4 linked regions of the Oryctolagus cuniculus genome follow. The protein of the gene in region 1 interacts with the protein of each later gene in a biochemical or structural test. Links are inferred from orthologs where the notes say so. Each region holds a gene or a part of one and is shown in the gene's direction. Other genes may lie near its edges.

The links.
Region 2: the proteins of FGFR2 (region 1) and PLCG1 form a complex in vitro, tested with the Homo sapiens proteins (2 studies listed by BioGRID and IntAct). The link is inferred for Oryctolagus cuniculus from reciprocal best matches to the Homo sapiens genes FGFR2 and PLCG1.
Region 3: the proteins of FGFR2 (region 1) and FGF7 form a complex in vitro, tested with the Homo sapiens proteins (3 studies listed by BioGRID). The link is inferred for Oryctolagus cuniculus from reciprocal best matches to the Homo sapiens genes FGFR2 and FGF7.
Region 4: the proteins of FGFR2 (region 1) and FGF10 are reported together in a solved structure, tested with the Homo sapiens proteins (3 studies listed by BioGRID and IntAct, with this or other methods). The link is inferred for Oryctolagus cuniculus from reciprocal best matches to the Homo sapiens genes FGFR2 and FGF10.

The regions. Positions count from the first base shown.
Region 1 is NC_091446.1:9,299,067-9,305,282, forward strand, and holds the start of FGFR2 (fibroblast growth factor receptor 2), read left to right. Parts: upstream 1-2,455; 5' UTR 2,456-2,940; intron 2,941-4,390; exon of another isoform or gene 4,391-4,671; intron 4,672-6,216. UniProt on the Homo sapiens protein: Tyrosine-protein kinase that acts as a cell-surface receptor for fibroblast growth factors and plays an essential role in the regulation of cell proliferation, differentiation, migration and apoptosis, and in the regulation of embryonic development.
Region 2 is NC_091442.1:17,799,490-17,803,506, reverse strand, and holds the start of PLCG1 (1-phosphatidylinositol 4,5-bisphosphate phosphodiesterase gamma-1), read left to right. Parts: upstream 1-1,217; 5' UTR 1,218-1,233; intron 1,234-1,980; exon of another isoform or gene 1,981-2,106; intron 2,107-2,150; exon of another isoform or gene 2,151-2,165; intron 2,166-2,578; 5' UTR 2,579-2,687; coding exon 2,688-2,904; intron 2,905-4,017. UniProt on the Homo sapiens protein: Mediates the production of the second messenger molecules diacylglycerol (DAG) and inositol 1,4,5-trisphosphate (IP3). Plays an important role in the regulation of intracellular signaling cascades.
Region 3 is NC_091443.1:72,203,095-72,207,192, forward strand, and holds the start of FGF7 (fibroblast growth factor 7 precursor), read left to right. Parts: upstream 1-1,298; coding exon 1,299-1,584; intron 1,585-4,098. UniProt on the Homo sapiens protein: Plays an important role in the regulation of embryonic development, cell proliferation and cell differentiation. Required for normal branching morphogenesis. Growth factor active on keratinocytes.
Region 4 is NC_091445.1:69,802,246-69,806,268, reverse strand, and holds the start of FGF10 (fibroblast growth factor 10), read left to right. Parts: upstream 1-1,223; 5' UTR 1,224-1,532; intron 1,533-1,644; exon of another isoform or gene 1,645-2,286; 5' UTR 2,287-2,649; coding exon 2,650-3,010; intron 3,011-4,023. UniProt on the Homo sapiens protein: Plays an important role in the regulation of embryonic development, cell proliferation and cell differentiation. Required for normal branching morphogenesis. May play a role in wound healing.

The DNA.
Region 1 (6,216 bases):
CGGGCTTCGGACTTTTCTACAGGGAAGGCACAGCTGCCTGGTGCAGAGTGAGCAAGCGAGCGAGCGAGGGGAAAGAGAAACTCCGGGTCTTGAAAGGAGAGCGTTTTCGCTGTGGCCAGGAGGCTGCCCCCACCCCCTTCCCTGGTCTCTCTGCCACCGCCGGGTCGGCAGCGCGATTTGTTCCTTGGAAGGGCCGGGGCCTCACGCTTGGTGTCCTGGGCTTTCTTCCTCCTCGTTGATGTATCGTTCGCAAGGGCTTCGGGGGAGAAAAGGGTGACTACTCAAGACATTTTGAACGAGGGGGACAATGGGAAGAAAGGGGCCTCGTAGGGGGTGCAGGGACTGTGAAAGTGGCCTTGTCTGGTGGGGCTTTCAGCGAGACCTGGTGCGGGTGCTCCTGGTGCAGTTCCAACTGTCACCTTTAGTTCTCGCTGGCTTTGCTGCCCTGGTCCCAGCACTGCGCAGACTGGGGCTTATTTACCTATTCACACTCTGCTGGGGAAGCGCATTAATGGGCTGATTAGCGACACCATTCACGAGGTCATTGACAAAAGCAGTTCCAGCGGCTTGAAGTGGGAAGACAGGGAGAGAGAGAGCGAGAGCGAGAGCGAGCTACCAAGAGATTATTCGCTCATTCAGAGCCTCGCTGGTGTGACAGCTTTCCTGGACCGGACCGTCTGAGGTCACTCGCAGCCTCAGTATGATGACAGAGTTGATTTTTTTCGAAAAAATTCCAAACATGCTTTTTCTTTTCCCAAAACGGCGGAGTTTGCTGGTGCAGGCTCTGGGCTTCTCTGGCCCAGAAATGAGTGCTCCTAATGGGAGTGAGGCGCTTCTGACGCACTGGTCTTTGCACCTCCATAAAGAGTCAATTCTGCAGGCTGCGTCTGGACACGAGCGTACACGTCTTGTGTCACTCTCTGTGCCAGGCTTCGTTTGCATTCAGAGTGCCGGGCCCTACCGACGGCTGGCCGGTGGGGACAGCGGCTTCCTGCATGGGTAATTTATGTGAGAATGCGCCAGTGGCCTTTCCTGGGCACGGGCTTCGTCCTGAGCCACTTGTTTCCCATCGGTGGGGAACATAAAGACGTCAGCGCCAGCCTCCGCTCAGACAGACGCTGGGCCACGGTCCCTGGTCTCTCCCAGGATCTCTGGCTTGAGCGGCCCCTGTAAGGGCAGAGGCTGGGTGTCACCTGGCTGAGACACCTGCTAATGACAAAGCCGGGCTGGGACAGGCCAGCTCAGCCAGAGGACTTTGCCAACAGCACGCCCCATCGAACAAGCATCTACACAGATCCTTTGACTTGCCCAGCTCTTGTTTTTGCTGTCAGCCTCCCCAAATACAATTTCACAGCTGTGGCCTGAGGCAGGTAGATGGATTTGTCACTCCCAGATTTGAAGCCATCTGCATAGAAGTTTCCAAGGCTGCAGCTGAATGAAACCGATTGTCTCATCACCTGGCCAACAAACACATCTTCCCGCTGGCTGTGGGGTGCACCCGGGGTGTGTGTGTGGGGGTCGGCTGTTCCCTGCCCCGTCCACCTTCCCCCCCAAGAGGCTTTTCAGGGACTTCTGGGTTAGGTGACATTTTTCTAAGAACAAATAATTAAGGGTTTTATCTGTAGGGTCTTGAGATGGCTCAGGAGCTGTCTGGGAAAGTAGATTTAAAAACAAATTATCCCCAGACACGGCCTAGCGGAAAGGGCACACAGAAAACCCGGACTTTAATCAGTGACAGCTTGGTGCCGCCAAAGCATCTGAGATTCAGAGGCAGGTTAGGGTCTGCTTAGGGTCAGGCTGTTCCTGGCAGCCTTGAGAGTTTCGCATTTCTGTTTATTAACCCAATATGCTCGTGGGTGACGAAACAGCCCGCTGCTGTTGCTACTGCTGCTTGGGGCCTTTTCTCAAAAGAGCCAGATTCCAGGGCAGGCTCTGCGGGGTCCTCCGGGTGACCCCGGCCCAACGGGGTGACCTCTCCGACCCGCTCACGCCTCTCCCGAAGTGGGGCGCGGGGCTCCGCGGGAGCTTCCCGGCCAGGGCTCTGCCCTCTGTGCGCAAGGCCAGAGAAACGGTGCAGAGGCGCTCCGCCGCCTCGCACGGTGCGGGCGAGGCTTCCGTGCCTCGGAGGGGCAGCACCTCGTGTCGCTGGCTTTCCATCCCGCCCGGAGCCAGCGTGAGGCCGGCCGCGGGCCAGCTCGCCCGGGCGCGCCGCGGGAGCAGGCCTTATTCGGGGGCCTCGGCGGCACCGCTCCGCGGCCACCGGGGCCGGGCGTCGCGGGCGCCTCGCAGGCGTCGGGAGCCGCGCGCGGCGCGGGGCGGCCCGGGCGCGCGGCGCTGATTGGCAGAGCGGGCGCCGCCGTCCAGGAAGCGGCTCGGGTTTCAGCGGGGGCGTGACCCGCAGCGAGGAGGCGGCGGCGGCGGCGGCGGCGGGGCCGCGGAGAGCGCCGCGGAGAGCCGAGCGGGCGGGCGCGGAGCGGAGCGGACCGGCGGGCGAGCGGCGAGCGGCGAGCGCGCGCGGCCGCCACAAAGCTCGGGCGCCCGGGGGCTGCCTGCGGCGTGCGAGGCCCGGCGCGGCCACCGCTCTCCGGGCTGGCGGGCGGCCCGCGCGCACCGGGGGGCCCCGAGGCCGCAGCTCGCGCGCGCTCTCCGGGCGCCTGCAACTTGCGAGCGAAGTTTGGCGGAGCGGACGCCGAGCCCTTTCTTCACCGCGCTTCCCCGGACCCGAGGGGCAGCGGGCGGGCGTGATGCCCGCGCGCCTCCGCAGCCTGCGGTGCGCGTGAAGCCGCGGAGCCTCCGCGCCGGCCGGGCCCACCGCCCTCCTCCGCCCCGGGACTCCTCTTGCTCGGCTTTGGAGGCTCTCCCGGGCGCGTCTCCGGCCGCATCCCGAGCCGCGCCGTGCGCGGGGACTGCCCGGATCGCGGAGCAGCGTTGCCATTCAAGGTAATCGGCGCGCTGGGCGCTTCGGGGAAGTGAGAGCGCGGGCAGGGGGCACTCCGCGTCCTGCGCCCCGGGCCGCGTCGGTGCTGGGGAGGTGGGTGCGAGCCGAGGGCTGGCACCCGAGGACCACCCACGCCAGGTGCTGACGCTGCCTCTGGCGCTGACAACCCCTTCGCTGTCAAAGTCGGGCGGGCGCCACCCCCGCAGGCCGGGGCTCCGGAGGCGCATCTTCGGGGTGCCCGTCCCATCCAGGTCCTGGAGGGAAGCCTTCCCCGGGAGGAAGCCTCTGGAGGCGGCGGCGGCGGCGGCGGTGGGGGGCTGGCGACCTCCCGGAGGGGTGGCGCCTGCGGGGGCCGTCTTTCGGGTTCCCAGGTTTCGGTGCGGGGCGCCCTTGCGCGAGCTCGGCGCTCCTGGGGCTAGGGGGCGACCTGGACCGACGTTTCCCCCTCGGCCCGCCCGCTCCGCCGCCGCCGATGTCGACAGCGCGGCGAGTCCCGACCTGCGCGCCCATTCCTGCAGCACCGGGCGGCGCCGGGGACGCGGCCGAGGGCGCCGGGCCTCGCGAACTGGTCCCGGGACGGTGCCTCCTCGCTCCCCACCTGGGGGGACCTCCCCCTCGGGGTACCCCTTGCACTGCGGGCGTGAAGCGCTGTCCACGCTTAAAACCCCATTGTCCCCCGCGTCCCAAATCCCCGTAAATCTTCCCCCGGCCTCGAACTCATTTTCATCTGAAAAGCCTGTTTAGTTTGAATAGAAAAGCAATCAGGCGCCCCTCTCCCGCTCCCTGGAATGTCAATTAAAATGCAGATTTCCCCAAGCTCTTTAGCGCCCCGAGAAGGGGCGAGAAAAACTGGAGATTCCAGGCCGTGCCGGGGAAGCTGCGCGACCGTGGAGCGGGTTGGCGGCGGGGAGCGCCCGGGCCGCGGCTTTGGGGGCGTGCGCCCGGGGCTGCGGGCGCTGATGCGGAGTCGGCGCGGGTCTGGGGCCGCGTTTGCTGGGATTTCCACGTGTTGCGGACTTGCTCCCCTAGGCTGGACTCCCCGGCGGATCGCCTGTCCTCCTCGGCTCTGGGGTGAAGTTGGGAGGCCTGGAGCAAGGGGGCTGGGGGTGGAGGCGCCCCTGCCCTGGCGCTGTTGACTTTCCCGCGCGAAGTCCGCCCAGGAGCGGAGGGGCAGGTGGCCCCTCTATCGGCCTCTCGGGGCGCGTGGGCTTGGGGTTTGGGGCTGTTAGCTGTGGCTCCCGGAGCAGGGCCAGGCGCCCGCGGGGCTCTTTGCGCTAGTCCCAGCTCGCGTCTTGGGGGGGCAGACTTGTGCCGGGGTTGGGGGGGCGGCGGCGGTGGACGAGAGCCATCCATCAGAGGGAGGGTGACAGCTCCAGCGGCGCGCGGGCTGAGCAGAGAGTTCCCTTTCAAGGGGAAAAATAAACAGGCTTTCGCTGAGGCTCAGACCCCGGGAAGGAGTATGGCTGTGCAGGCCGGAAGCCGGGCTTGTGGCCGCCAGCGGCATGCTGGGCCTGTGTTCCCAACACCGAGCCCCGGGACCTCATTATCCTGCCCGGGGGGTCGCCTGGGCCTGGTGTCCACTCCAGTACCTGCCGCCCCGGGGGCCTGGGCCTCGCAAAGAGCTGGGGCGGAGGACCGCCGCGGGGCCTGAACCTGGAGACTGACGGAAATTCAGGTTTTCCCTGGGGTCTGCCGCGGGCACTGGCCACTGTCCTCCTTTCTTGGCTGTGCAGGTGGGTGGAGCGGCCGGGGGAGCAGCCTGGGGTCAGTCCTTGCGCTGCGGGATGTGAGATTGCTCCTGAAGCGTTAGAGGCGGAAAATTCCCCTGCATTCTGTAGATGCACAGGAATGCTCTGTGCTCCCCTCCCACATGGCTGTAGGGATACACACAGCCTGTCTGAAGGCTCTTGACTTGAAGGGGAAGAGAAGTTAGGGAAGTCCCTGGAGCTGCACAGGCGCACACGGACACGTGCACAACGCGCTCTCCTCCTGCCTTTGCTGTGGATGGCAGCCTGTCACCTGTGCTTTCCTTATCCCTGCTCTGGGAACCTCTTCACTTGCACCCACTTGAACCCCAGGACTGGAAGGAACAATTTTTATGGTAGACCTTTAGGGAGGTGCCAGCGGTGTGGAAATCTCCTCAGCATAATTTGAAACATCAAGTTGGCACGCAGCAAGCCCGGGTTAGAGATTTTTGTATTAAAGTTCTCGCTCCTGCCTGCCCCCCCCCCCCAGCCTTAGGAAGTGTGGTTCATGGGGTCTGAAGCCTGAACTTGGGGTATCATTTTGTGGGACTGTTTGAATCAAATTCTCTGTCACTGACGACATGAATGAGTTTAAAGTTATTAGGAATATTTTAAACTTCCTGGGAAAAGTCCCTGCCTGGTATCCGTTGGGTGAACAGAATAGATAGATTGAGACTCCTGTGTGCCACATCCCGGTACCTGGGCTGGGTACCAGCCTCAGGCTTCGGACTCCGGCTTCCTGCTAGGGCAGACCCCGGGAGGCAGTGGTGATGGCTCAAGTAACTGGGTTCCCGCCATCCACGTGGGAGACCTGGATTCCATTCCTGGCTCCTGGCTTCCGCAGGCTTTGTGGATATCTGGGGGAGTGAAGCAGCCAGTGGGAGCTCCTTCCCTGTCTTTCTCTGTGTCTTTCTCTTGTCTCTGTGTCAAAGACAAATTTAAAATAAATAGAAATAAATAGGTTATTGGCCGAGCCAGCATGTCAGCGTAATTCACACATCATCATCATCATTAATAAACTCTTGCATTATTCATCCGAGTCTGCGCTTCTCCACCCCTCTGCTGAGGTTGGAGACGTTTAGCCGTCCGCTGCCGTTTGGTCGGTGCAGGGGACTTCTGGTCTTGCCCCCCCTTTTTGGATAGCCGCTTCGACTGTGTTCCGATTCTGTTCCGTCTTCTGGCGAGGGATTGAAATCCACTTCTGCGTTTGAAAATGAGTCCTGACAAGTGGAACCTGGTGGGGATTTCTCTGTAAGCTTCCTGGGATCCCTGTCTTCCGGAGCACCACAGAGGGAGTGGAACAAACCCCTGGGCTGCGAGCAGACGCCGGCGGTGGTTGGTCAGCTTCCGGAACGGCGGGAAGCGCTTAACGAGGCTGAGCGCCGGGGGACTGCTTTTGGGGTGCCCCTGGCACTGAGGTCGCGCCGTCCCTGCTTTGAGGGTGGCAGAGGCGACGGTGGATGGTGGAAGAGAACGTACTCTGCCTGACTGAAGTGGCCGCGCCTGGCTGAGTCCTGTGGCTCCTTTTACTGT
Region 2 (4,017 bases), on another chromosome or scaffold:
CAGAGAGAAAGGTCTTCCTTCTGTTGGTTCACCCCCCCAAATGGCTGCTATGGCTGGCATGCTGCGCCGATTCAGGAGCCAGGTGCTTCCTCCTGGTCTCCCATGCGGGTGCAGAGCCCAAGCACCTGGGCCACCCTCCACTGCCTTCCCGGGACACAGCAGAGAGCTGGACTGGAAGAGGAGCAACCGGGACAGAATCTGGCGCCCCGACCGGGACTAGAACCCGGTGTGCCAGCGCCGCAGGCGGAGGATTAGCCTAGTGAGCTGCCGCACTGGCAACCTCACTGTGTTTTCTTTCATCTGTTCTTTTCCTCTGGAGCCCTCATCACAAGTGTCTTTACAGAACAGAGTGCTTATTTGTTTAAGGTCTGTTAATCCCCCGAGGGGCTGGGCTGGATCTCCTGTTCTCCTCACGCTTCGCAGCTCAGCGACAGCGGCACTTTGAGTACAAGCCACGCTCTGACCACTAATGTTCTGCCAGGTTCCCTGTGCCAGTAGCCATCTAGCCTCATGCCCACTGACTGCTCACCACCAGGACTTACCTAAGCCAGAGGCCCTCTTGTGAGGCAGAAAACAGAGGTGGATAGGTTCAAGTCCCCAGTTGTGAGTGACGTGGCCGCTCGGTAAGTCATGTAGAACTTCTCTGAACGTCCTCATCAGTAAACTGGGGACCAGTGTCCCTGATTAGAGGGTGATTATGAGGACCACGTGTGATCAGGATCAGCCTGCCTCCCACTTCAAAGGCTTGTCACTAGGTGGCAGTCCATCTCAGCTCCCCCGCTGGCCCTTAGTTGACAGGAGCCTAGTGCTGTGAGCCTTAGGGGCCACACTTGAAGGAACCAAAAGTGCAGGAGCATGCACACACACGCAAGTTACTACCACCGCGAGATAGTCAGAGGCAGCTCCACACACCTAGTACTGGGTGCGGTTGCCTGAACACATGCTCTCCTGTCCTCACAAATCCCAACTCACCTGGATCTTTCTCCGGAAAGCTCTGCTGGGCCGCGCCTCTCTGAAATGCAGCACCTGGCGCAACACGTGTCAGGCATGCCTCCCCATGACCGCAGATGTCCTCAGTTTTCACAGCATTCAGGAAGACGAAGAGGGTGAATGATTCCAGACAGAAGCCTGCTGACGGGAGGAGAGAGAGTGAAGAAGCCAGGAGATAGGAAGGGGCCAGGCCCATCAGAACCTGCTGTGTGCCACTCAGGGCGGGAGAATAGTAGACCAGAGGTAGGTGATCATGGTTTTATTTCTTTTAAAAGATTTAAACATGGAGAACAGACGCAGGTGAGAGAGGCCACGGCCTGGTGGGCTTGCAGGCAAAGTGAACAGGCCTCGGTGGATCTGACCTGGGGCAGACAGAGGAATCGAGGTTACTGGCCAGGTTTTTGGCTTATGCAATCGAGAGGAGTTTGGTGCCATGTTCTGAGAAAGCGAAGGCTGGGGAGCCGTGTGGGAGTGTGGGTGAGGCAGCCGCATTAGGTAGCAACGTGGTGCGGACAGTGGGACGTGGAGGTGGAGGCACTGGTACCGGCGCACTGCGTGAAGTCAGGTCGCTATGGGTACTGGCCCAGGACAGAGTCCAGAGCGAGGTCAGGAAAACCAAAGTTCAGGAGCGCACCTGCAGGAGGGGTGTGAGGCAGGGCCTGAGCCCGCCTCACGGATCCGACCTGCGTCCTGCCTCGTGGGGAACGAGGGCGAGGAGCAACGGGCAACGCCAAGAGAGGGAGAGAGACAGGGCCGCTGGGGGCTACAGGTCAGGTCTCCAGACAGCGCGGGCGCGGGTTTAACGAGCCCTGCGGGGGATGCTCACGCCCGAAGCGCTTCTCCGAGGAAGGGCACCTACGCAAGGGCAGGACGGACGTGGGGTTCGCCTTCGCAAGGGCGGCCTGTGGGCCAGCTCTGCGCGGGCAGGGGGAGGGGGCGGGACAGAACGCTGTCCATCAGAGCCCGCTGACCAATCCTCGGGATGCCCCGCCCCCACTCCTCCCCGAAGAGGGCGCGCGGAGAACCCGCCTCCGCCGCCGCCGCCGCCGCCGCCGCCGCCGCGGGTGTGAGGCGGCCCGGCCTGGCCCGGTTCCCTCCGCCGGGCAATTCGCCCAGGTAATTGGGTTTGGCCAGGCGGACCCGAGGGGCGCGTCGCACCCTCACATCTTCTCCAGGTGGCTGTGCGGGCGGCGCGGAGGCTGCGGTCGGGCCTGTGCGGGACAGTGGGCGGGTGGCTTCGCGTGCACGAGCGCCTGACTGACGGGCCGGTCGGTCGCGGGCCTGCAGCCTGTGGGCGGGGCTGCCGTGCGTGACGGGGCCGGTGGAGGCCCCGCGCCCTGCCGGGGTCGCGTGAGGAAGCTCTGCGGGGCCGAGCGACGGACGGATTGCTTGAGAGCGGGGCGTACCATGGCGCCCCGCGCCCCCGCTTGCGGCCTGGCCGGGGGTCGCGGGGCGCAGGCGCGGTGGGCCGGGGGCGGGGGTCCTCCCCACGGGCGCGCGGGCGCCTTTGTTCCTGGCGCGCGGGCGGGGCGGATCCTCGGGCCGCCCCGCCTTCGGTGTTTAGGCTCCGCCCCGTGTCCGCCCGCAGGAGCCGCCGCCGGGTCCCGGTCGCCGGCCGCCTCAGCTGCCGCCTCCTCCTCCTCCTGCTCCCGGCTCCTCCGGCTTGTGCCGCCGCCGCCGCCCCCAGCGTCGGAGCCATGGCGGGCGCCGCGTCCCCTTGCGCCAATGGCTGCGCTCCCGGCGCGCCCTCGGAAGCCGAGGTGCTGCACCTCTGCCGCAGCCTCGAGGTGGGCACCGTCATGACTTTGTTCTACTCCAAGAAGTCGCAGCGGCCCGAGCGGAAGACCTTCCAGGTCAAACTGGAGACGCGCCAGATCACGTGGAGCCGCGGCGCCGACAAGATCGAGGGGGCCAGTAAGTGCCGCCCCCGGGCCCGCTGCGCGCGCGGGGCTGGCGAGGCGCGCGCGGCCGCGGCCCTCCCTGGCGACTTGGGCAAACTTTGGGCTCTCCCCACCCCCACTGGACCCGCCCCCGCCTCGGCTCCGGTGCTCACTGGGGGGCGGGGATCATCCAAATCCTCGGTCACCTGATAGGACGCCCCCTCCCCCGGCTGGGGGGACTCCTCCAGACGTCTTTCCCTGAGGCCTAAAAAATCCTGGCGGACTGGAGTCCAGCGGGGCAGGCGTCGAGCCCCTCCAGTCCCGGGAAGGAGCGGCGGTGGCGGGCGAGGGGAGCCAAGCTGCGCCCACCCTGCCCGCGATCGGGGCCCGAGGGTCACTGCCCTCCCCCTCTGCAGAAAGAGCGGTGCGAGATTCCCTGGGTCCCAAGGCTGGGCTCTTCATTGCAAGGGAACCTTTGGGTTCCCTGGGTAAAAATTAGGCAGATGTTGAGGTAGGGCTGGTTTTGAAACAGGGCTAGGCCTGCTCATCTGCTTGGGGAGGGAGAAGAAGGTGGTCCTTTCTGTCTTGGCGAAGCCTGAGAAAGGCCGCTTTTACTTGCTGCTGCTTTTGTCCCAAAGCTGAGTTTTTGGAGGCCTATGCCGGTGCCCAAAGCCGGGGCAGGCTCTTGGGTAAAGGGGCTGTGCCCTTGCACTTGGAAGCACCCACCTGAAGCTTGGCCCCAGACAGGCCAGTCCAAGTGCCTTGGCGTCAGGTACTCCTGTCTCAGAGCGGGTAGCCTGTTTGGGGTCTAGCCCTTTGTGTCCTGTGTCCGGTGGCCACAGGGAGCCGACAGTGGCTCCCCCCTTGGTTTCCTGCCTCTGTGCCTTGCCAGGCCTGAGCTTGGCTGCTTTTGCGCAGGTCTCTAGTGGGAGGAGGGGGTTAGGGGATTTTGAAAAAACCCCAGATCTTTCAGTGTGTTACTGCACTCACTGCATGCCTGAGCTGTGGCCGGATGGGCACTCAGCTCTGCCCTCCTTTCTCTCTCGCCTTCCTGTGTGAACAGATGATGTTTCTGTAACCCCAGGCTGTGGGTTGTTTCCTCCAAGGACCCCCCAGAGATGGGTACTAGAACCAGGGGCATGTGGAG
Region 3 (4,098 bases), on another chromosome or scaffold:
AACTACCTCAGAATCAGATCTATTTTCAAAGTAGGTACCCGTTTGTGGATTTACACATAAACCATGTTCATAGCTCCCTCTCATGACCACTGAATACTATACAAGCCTCTTTTTATTCTTGCTGTTGTATTCAACTAACAGCTCACTGGTTAAGTTTTAATTGCTTCCAATGAGGTCAGCAAAGGTATTTATCGAAAAGCGCTGAATAAAAAGGCTCCACACACACACACACAAGCATACACGCGCTCACACACAGAAAGAAAATCCTCTTGCCTGTTGATTTATGGAAACAATTATGATTCTGCTGGAGAATTTCTCAGCTGAGAAATAGTTTGTAGCTACAGTAGAGAGGCTCAAGTTGCACAAGGCAGACAACAGACATGGAATTCTTGTGTATCCAGCTGTTATAAACAGAACAAGTAAGTTACTGTTATTTGTCTTTAAAAACAATGCTGAATGTTTTTCTAAAAGTTTGTCTCTTTCTCTGGTTTTAGTGTTGAAGGGAAAAGTAAAGTGACCAGATTTCTGAGCTATGTGAATATATAATTATGCTGTAGAACTTATGTAAAGATAAAGCTGAAGTTCTGCAGGGAACTCCTGACACTTAACTTGAAAATGTGGGCTGTTTAGGAGAAAATAACTGAAAATGTAAAAGCATATAATAAGGAAATCCAGGAAAAGCATTTATATTTTGTTAACAGTAACTGTATAACTTAATTTAAATAAATAGCTGTAAGTACAGGATGTTTCTTACAAAATAGCAACCGGAATGAATGGACATATTCTCATATGAATTCTTATATTCTTATATGAACAGTCAAATTCTTATTTGTCTCTATTAATGCACAGTTTTTATAAATCTACATGTAGAATGGTAAAGATGCTGACATCCTCTATGAAAGCTGTTTTAAATGTATCTTTGTACTATAAGTTACATTGCATGTTATAATACTATTTAGCCACTGAAATTTATACATAGTATTTTTATCTTCCTTTTCTTCTCCCTTCCCCATTCCCAATCTCTCATTATAAACAGAAGCCAAGTAGCAAACAGCATCGCAGCAACTGAGTTTATTACAACCTGTTTTTATAAGGATATATCAGAGTTACTTAAGGAGGAATCCTATATTTTATCAGGAACTAAAAGGATAAGTCTAACATTTGGAAAGAGCAACTACTCTTTCTTAAATCAATCTGCAATTCAAAGATAGGAAGAGGTCAATGACCTAGGAATAACAATCAACTCAAGATTTAATTTTCATTATGTTATTCATGAACACCCGGAGCACTACACTATAATGCACAAATGGATACTGACATGGATCCTGCCAACTTTGCTCTACAGATCATGCTTTCACATTATCTGTCTAGTGGCCACTATATCTTTAGCTTGCAATGACATGACTCCAGAGCAAATGGCTGCAAATGTGAACTGTTCCAGCCCTGAGCGACATACAAGAAGTTATGATTACATGGAAGGAGGGGATATAAGAGTGAGAAGACTTTTCTGTCGAACACAGTGGTATCTGAGGATTGATAAACGAGGCAAAGTAAAAGGGACTCAAGAGATGAAGAACAATTACAGTAAGTAACGTCTTTTGTTTAAAGCACTGCTTATGAACTTTAACAATCTGTTAAAGGATCAATTTTCAGGGGACATGCTTTCTCATTTTCCTTTTAAAGCAATTAAGTGAAATGTCACCTAATTCTTTAACTTGAGATAGTTGAACTATGTCCTTAAAAATATCCTCTAGAACAGGGAAAATATTATTATGAATATTATAAATATTATATTTGAATTGATAACAAAAGACAATTTGAAAATAAATGTTGCATGTCCTAATCTCAAAATGCTCACAAATAAAGCAAAATGTAAAATATATTATTCACAATGAAATGTGATTTATAATTTTCTAGCAAAACTCATTAGGGAATGTCATATAGTACTAAGTAAATGCTCACTAAAACTACTTATCACTCCTGTGAGAAACAAAATTCATTTATTTTTATTGATTTGATTTCCTTTCAAAGAATATTTCATGATGTAAAATACTTAAACTGTGTTTAAAAATGCATTCTTATCCAATTGTGTGTAGTTATGAAACAGAAGGGAGTCTATGGTATCCTTATCCAGTCAAGTCATAATGAACTTATACAATTGCTTAATTATATACCTACACAGAAAAATAGATTTCTTCTAACATTTTCTTTAACCAAATCTTCTATATCACACAAGTTATATGTTGCCTTAAGATAAACATAAGTGTGAGGAAATAAAAATGAATTGGAAGAGATATTAATTCAATGATTTCCAGTTGAAAAGATATATTCCCCAAGGATCAGTTTTTCTATTCATGATGAAATTTTAAGGGATGGGTTTTTCATTTAACAGGATTAGTAGCCAATTTCAATAATATTAAATTTAGTGGGGCAAAATATATCTCAACATACACATTAAAGATTTAAAATATCTCAATGAACATGAATTTTTGTTGCATTACTAGCACTAGGACAATGTTAATGGTACATATTTTATAATGTGTGTGTTAAAGTCAGTTATAAAGGAATACATGGGAATGATGGTGTAAACACACATACCTAGAACAGTGCCAGGCTTGAAATAGTTACTTAAAACTTTTGCTGTTTACTGAGTTGCTTTTAGGCTTCTTACCTAATCAGCCAATAAATTTCCATTGTCAAAGTGAGAGATCTTTAAAATTATAATTGATACATGATGTTAAGGCCATTTAATGAATTAAGTTATGGTTTTATTATTATTATTGGCATTAATAAAGGTATGTTAATTCTAGAAGATTGTTCTAGTTATACTGACTTTTAGCTAAGCAAATGAGTATTTGGAGGAAGTTTTATATAAGCAAAAGGATTTGACTTGTAGACATCAATGTATTCACTGAGATTTGTCATAGTTAATGGAGTCTAGTGGAGATGATAGTACTCTGGTGGACTTATAACACGTAGGTCCAATTCCTGTGTGTGAATGACTTTGGTATAATCTCTTAGTTTTTGTAATGTTCAATTTTTCCATTTTTAAAACATGGGATGTATACAGATGATTTCTAAGGTACTTTCTAACTCTTATAGTCTATTCTGTTCTAAACTACATAACATACTACATAAATATGAAGAAACCTAAGTATCTATTTTATAATTATCACACACAACAAATGAGATTAAATATTATCTGATGGTAAGATCAACTGCTGGAACTATTGTCAAATTGTAGTAATGAATGATCAAACAAACACTACAGAATCCTATGTAAAGGTAGTTCCTTTTGAATGCTTTTAACAAATAATGAAAAGTAAAAACTTAAATGTAAAACTCAGTGGAAGTGAATAGTATGTGTAAGTATTTGAGATAAAAATATCTACAATTGGAATTAATTCACATACATAAATCACCCATAAATTTTATGTTAAAATTTCTTAAAATCATGAAACTAAGGTATTTATATACATAAACAAAGGGTTAAAGTTATTTTATATTTTGAGACACAATTTAATGCTAGCCTGGAGTAATCATAAACTCAATTTGATTAATATTTTGTATTCTAATATTAGTTCTGCAATAACAAAGTTATGTCATTATAAATTAGAATGTCATATGTACTAAAAAGACATGGTATGCATTACATAAATAATTCTTACCTACAAGCTTTTTCATAATATATATATATATATATGTGTGTGTGTGTGTGTTATGCTTTCTTGATATGGTATATTATCCTGGAAAAGGAAACTTCCATTAGGATTCTTTAAGTAAACTCTAAAATTATTGTCTATGCTGTTATGCTTTTTAAGAGTCAGTAAGATTTTTACAAAGCTGAAAAGAGGCTAAGGCATTTTTAAATATAGGAAATAGTAAGGTATAGAAGAAAATATTTCAATGAAGAAAATATGGAGAACAATTTATTAGAAGGAAATTGTCATTTCCTATTACTTATGTGGCAGTCTTACTCATTTAAAGAATGCACATAAACATGCAAATTGATAGATGTGAAATTGAAGCCATTATGTTAGGAAAGCTAGGTACAAGGAAAATACTTAGCAGAATTTGGTTAAAATACTCAAAGAAGAT
Region 4 (4,023 bases), on another chromosome or scaffold:
GGTATAAAAGTGTGAGCTAGGAAATTGAAATCAGCACTGTGGGTTCATTTTTTAATATCCATGTTTTAATTAAAGAGCAAGACTTGTTTGATGTATGCCCTTTATTTGCTTAACTTTGCAATTAATAGCTACGGTAATAAGGACTAATTATATTAAATATAAAAATCTACTGTGATGTTTACCACATTGTTGAAATCTAATAAATAAGCTTTGCAATAAGTTATAAATAATGCGATTAATGTCCCGATTCTAGTATTAAATGGTTCTATTTCAAAGGCTCTGAATGCACAGGAAACTATAAGAGCTTACATGTAAAGCTGTTTTTTAAGTTACTCAATCAAATGCGTACTCTCACCTCTAAAAGTACAATTTTAATTCCTTTGTATTTTCTTCAGTTCACAATGAAATGCACATTATAAGGAATTTGGTTTGTATATCATAAGCTCTTATGGCTAATTCCTTCCAAGTAACAGTGGCAATTGTTTGACTCTCAAGTTCACCTAGAATCTCTGTCTTAGATTGGCAGGCAATTAGGTTGAAACATAGGGAACTGCTACTTTCACAGGTCCAGTGGATAAAATACTGACGTTCCAACAAAACGCAACTGTCCAACTGCCCTCCATAACATATATGCTTTGGACCAATATGTGTTTAGGCATTCCTTCCAGTGAAATTTCCCAGGTTAGAGTAATTCTTAGAAGAAGTGGTCCCGGAGGAATTGTCCCTTACTTCGGTTGTAATGGGTTCTCGCAGTATTCCCTTCTTTGTGCCCCTTAACTCTTGGCAAAGTTTCCGGAGCCTTGGACTTAGTTCTATCCATACCTGGGTTGTGAGTGAGTTTCTGCGAGCAACGCAGCTTCCGGAAGAGTGAGGAGTGAGCTGATGGTGCAGTAATATTGTCAAGTAGGACCCTTTAAGCATTGCGTCCGAAGATAGAAAAAAACCAGGCCCTTTATGGTAAAGTGCAAAGGAAATTGCACAGAAAAGAAAACAGACAGCAGGGTATTTGGCAAAATTGTATGGTAAAAACCTTTGGGATCTCAATCAAGTGCGTTCGCTTTGAAGTGCACGCGCGATTCAGTCAGGGACTCATGTTAGCAATTAGAAATCGGTCATTTGGGTCCCTGATTTCATTTGCGCCAAGAGAGAGGCGACTTTTAAGGGTGACGATAAATCTCCCTGAGCTTAAAAGGCTGAGAGGGCCAAAGTGTGAACTTTTTACTTCAGCAACGGAAGCGAGAAATCAGTGATTCATTAAAGCGGAGACCTCCTTGGAAGCGGGCAGAAGAGAAGGAGAGGAAGCTCATTAAGTCTCCCTTTGCCGTGCTCGCTCCCACCAGTTTATAATCTGCTGTTTGGGAGGGTTTATCCTCAGCATCTTCTGCTTTCTCCGCAGCCCTCCCTCCTTGGGGAAGACAGAGGGGCTGGGGAAGAAGAAGGAAGAAAAAAAGTCAGTAAGCACCAGGCTCCAGGTGGCTCTCAAGAACTTCACTGCCAAAAGGAAAAACAACAACAGCAGCGCAGGAAAACAAGTGAGAAAGGGGCTCCCGACAGGGGATTGGTTCAGGCTGCCAGACGGCACAACTGGCGAAGCTGGAGGACGCCGCTCGCGCTGGCGGCCGGCGCGGAGAGCGCAGGGCGCTGGGGCAGCGAGAGGAGCCGGAGGCGGCCGCCGAGGCTGCGGCGGCGGGGCCGGGACGCGGAGCCCCCGAGCTCCGGGCGCAGGCGGCGCGCTCTCCCCGGGCTCCCCCCGCCCGGCCTCCTCCCTCCCCCCCGCCCCGGCGTTCCCAGCAGCCGAGGGTTTCAGATGTCCCACCGCCTTTTGACCCCCTCCCCCCGCTCCTCCACCCCTGCAAATGAGGTTTGACCAGCAGAGGCAGAGCCCACCTCTGGCTCGGAACCACCACTGACATTTAGACTCTGAGCTTCAACCTGTTTACAAGCGGACTTTCCAAAGGAAGGGGGGTGGGGGAGAGGGCCCAAACAAAAACACCAGCCGCCACCCCCCTCCCCCCCAAAAGGAGCGACTTTCTGGAGGCTTCACATCAGCAGGCACCACCAAAAAGAGCAAGGAAGACGGGGAAGAAAACAACGAAACAACGGCGACCGGGCAGCTGCCTGCAGAGCTGACATCCCCAAAGGGACACGTTTTCTGCAGCGGCCAGCAGGCTGAGGCTCTGCGGAGGGGGACCAGGAGGTGCCAACCGCCGAGGGGCGCAGGGATCCCCCCCTCCCCCTCCCCACCCCCCTTAGGTTTTGTTCACCGTGCTGTCATCTGTTTTTCAGACCTTTTTTGCATCTAACATGGTGAAGAAGGGAGTGAAGAAGAGAACAAAGTGACTCCTGGGGGAGCGAAGAGCGCCGGTGACCCACAGCGCCGGCTCCCGCTGCTGCGGCCACCCACGTCCACTGTGCCCGGGCAGACCCCGCGAGGCGCAGGCAGCGGATCCGCGGACGGAGCGAGCCCAGGCTGCCGGCCCTCCGGAGGAGTTATGGATGTTGGTGCATTCACTTCTGGCCAGATCCGCGCCCGGAGGGAGCTAACCAGCAGCCGCCACCTCCAGCTGTCTCCTTGCCTTGCACCAGGTCTCACCCTTCCAGTATGTTCCTTCTGATGAGACAATTTCCAGTGCCGAGAGTTTCAGTACAATGTGGAAATGGATACTGACACATTGTGCCTCAGCCTTTCCCCACCTGCCCGGCGGCTGCTGCTGGTGCTTCTTGTTGCTGTTCTTGGTGTCTTCCGTCCCTGTCACCTGCCAAGCCCTTGGTCAAGACATGGTGTCACCAGAGGCCACCAACTCTTCCTCCTCCTCCTCCTCCTCTTCCTCCTCCTCCTCTTCCTCCTCCTCCTTCTCTTCTCCTTCCAGTGCCGGGAGGCATGTGCGGAGCTACAATCACCTCCAAGGAGATGTGCGCTGGAGAAAGCTATTCTCTTTCACCAAGTACTTTCTCAAGATTGAGAAGAACGGGAAGGTCAGCGGGACCAAGAAAGAGAACTGCCCGTACAGTAAGTAACAAACGCGTGCTCCCTTCCTGCCAATTATCCACCTCCACCCCACGCGGGGGGGAAATCCGTTCCAGATGTGGCCAGCTAAATATTTACGTCGCCAACCCCTGTAAAATGATTAAGTGGAATACTTTCACACTAAATCACCCCCCCCCCCCGTGTATACATTGTGCGGCTGCATCCCCTCCCCTAGGCCCGCTCCCTGCACGCCCCCCACCCGGCGCCACCCTCTCGGTCTCTTCTCCCGGGCTTGTCACTCGCTGGACCGCGCAGGGCGCTCGCGAGTTGTGCAGGGCACCGATGCCCCTCTATGTCTGCACCGCCCTTCCCCATCGCGTCCGAAGGTCCCCTCTCTCCCTCCCTTCTGGAAGTGGCTCAAGTAAACACATTTTGTTTCTTTTCCTTGGCAATCTTGTGAAGAGTTTTGGGACAGGCTCCCCAAGCTGAAAATAATTATCCCCTGTCAGTTATAGGGGCTTTATGGGAACTTTATTTAAGAAAGAAAAGTCATTTCCACTGGCTGCCTAACACGGAGATAGGAGCGAAAAGCCCTTTTCTGGTTTTGATTTTTTTTTTTTTTTTTTGGTCCCTCTTGTTGTGAGCGATTGCAGTCCGTGAAGTGAGCTTTTCAGGCAACTCCGCTGCTATTTGTCTTCTGCCTGCCTTCTCTCTTGGTAACATGATGCTCGTGTCTGCATTGTCAATAGCATATGCGCTGCTTTGTGGTGTCCCGTTGTACTGTTTGGTCTGAAACCTCTCATATTGCAGAGCCCTACTACTACAGCATTGTAAACATCTGGGGCTGGATTCACACAGACCTCACACAAATTTCATTGTCATCCTTTTATTTTTCAAAGTAAGAGTCATACGTCTGTTTCCATGGCTATAGTTTATCCCATAGGATGAGGCTTTCTGCTAAAGACAGTTGATGCCAGGGTCCCTGGATTTCTCTCTCACCTTTTCCCTTGTTTTCCCTCTTTCTTTCTTGCAAGGGTGTGGGCTGGGCAGAGGGA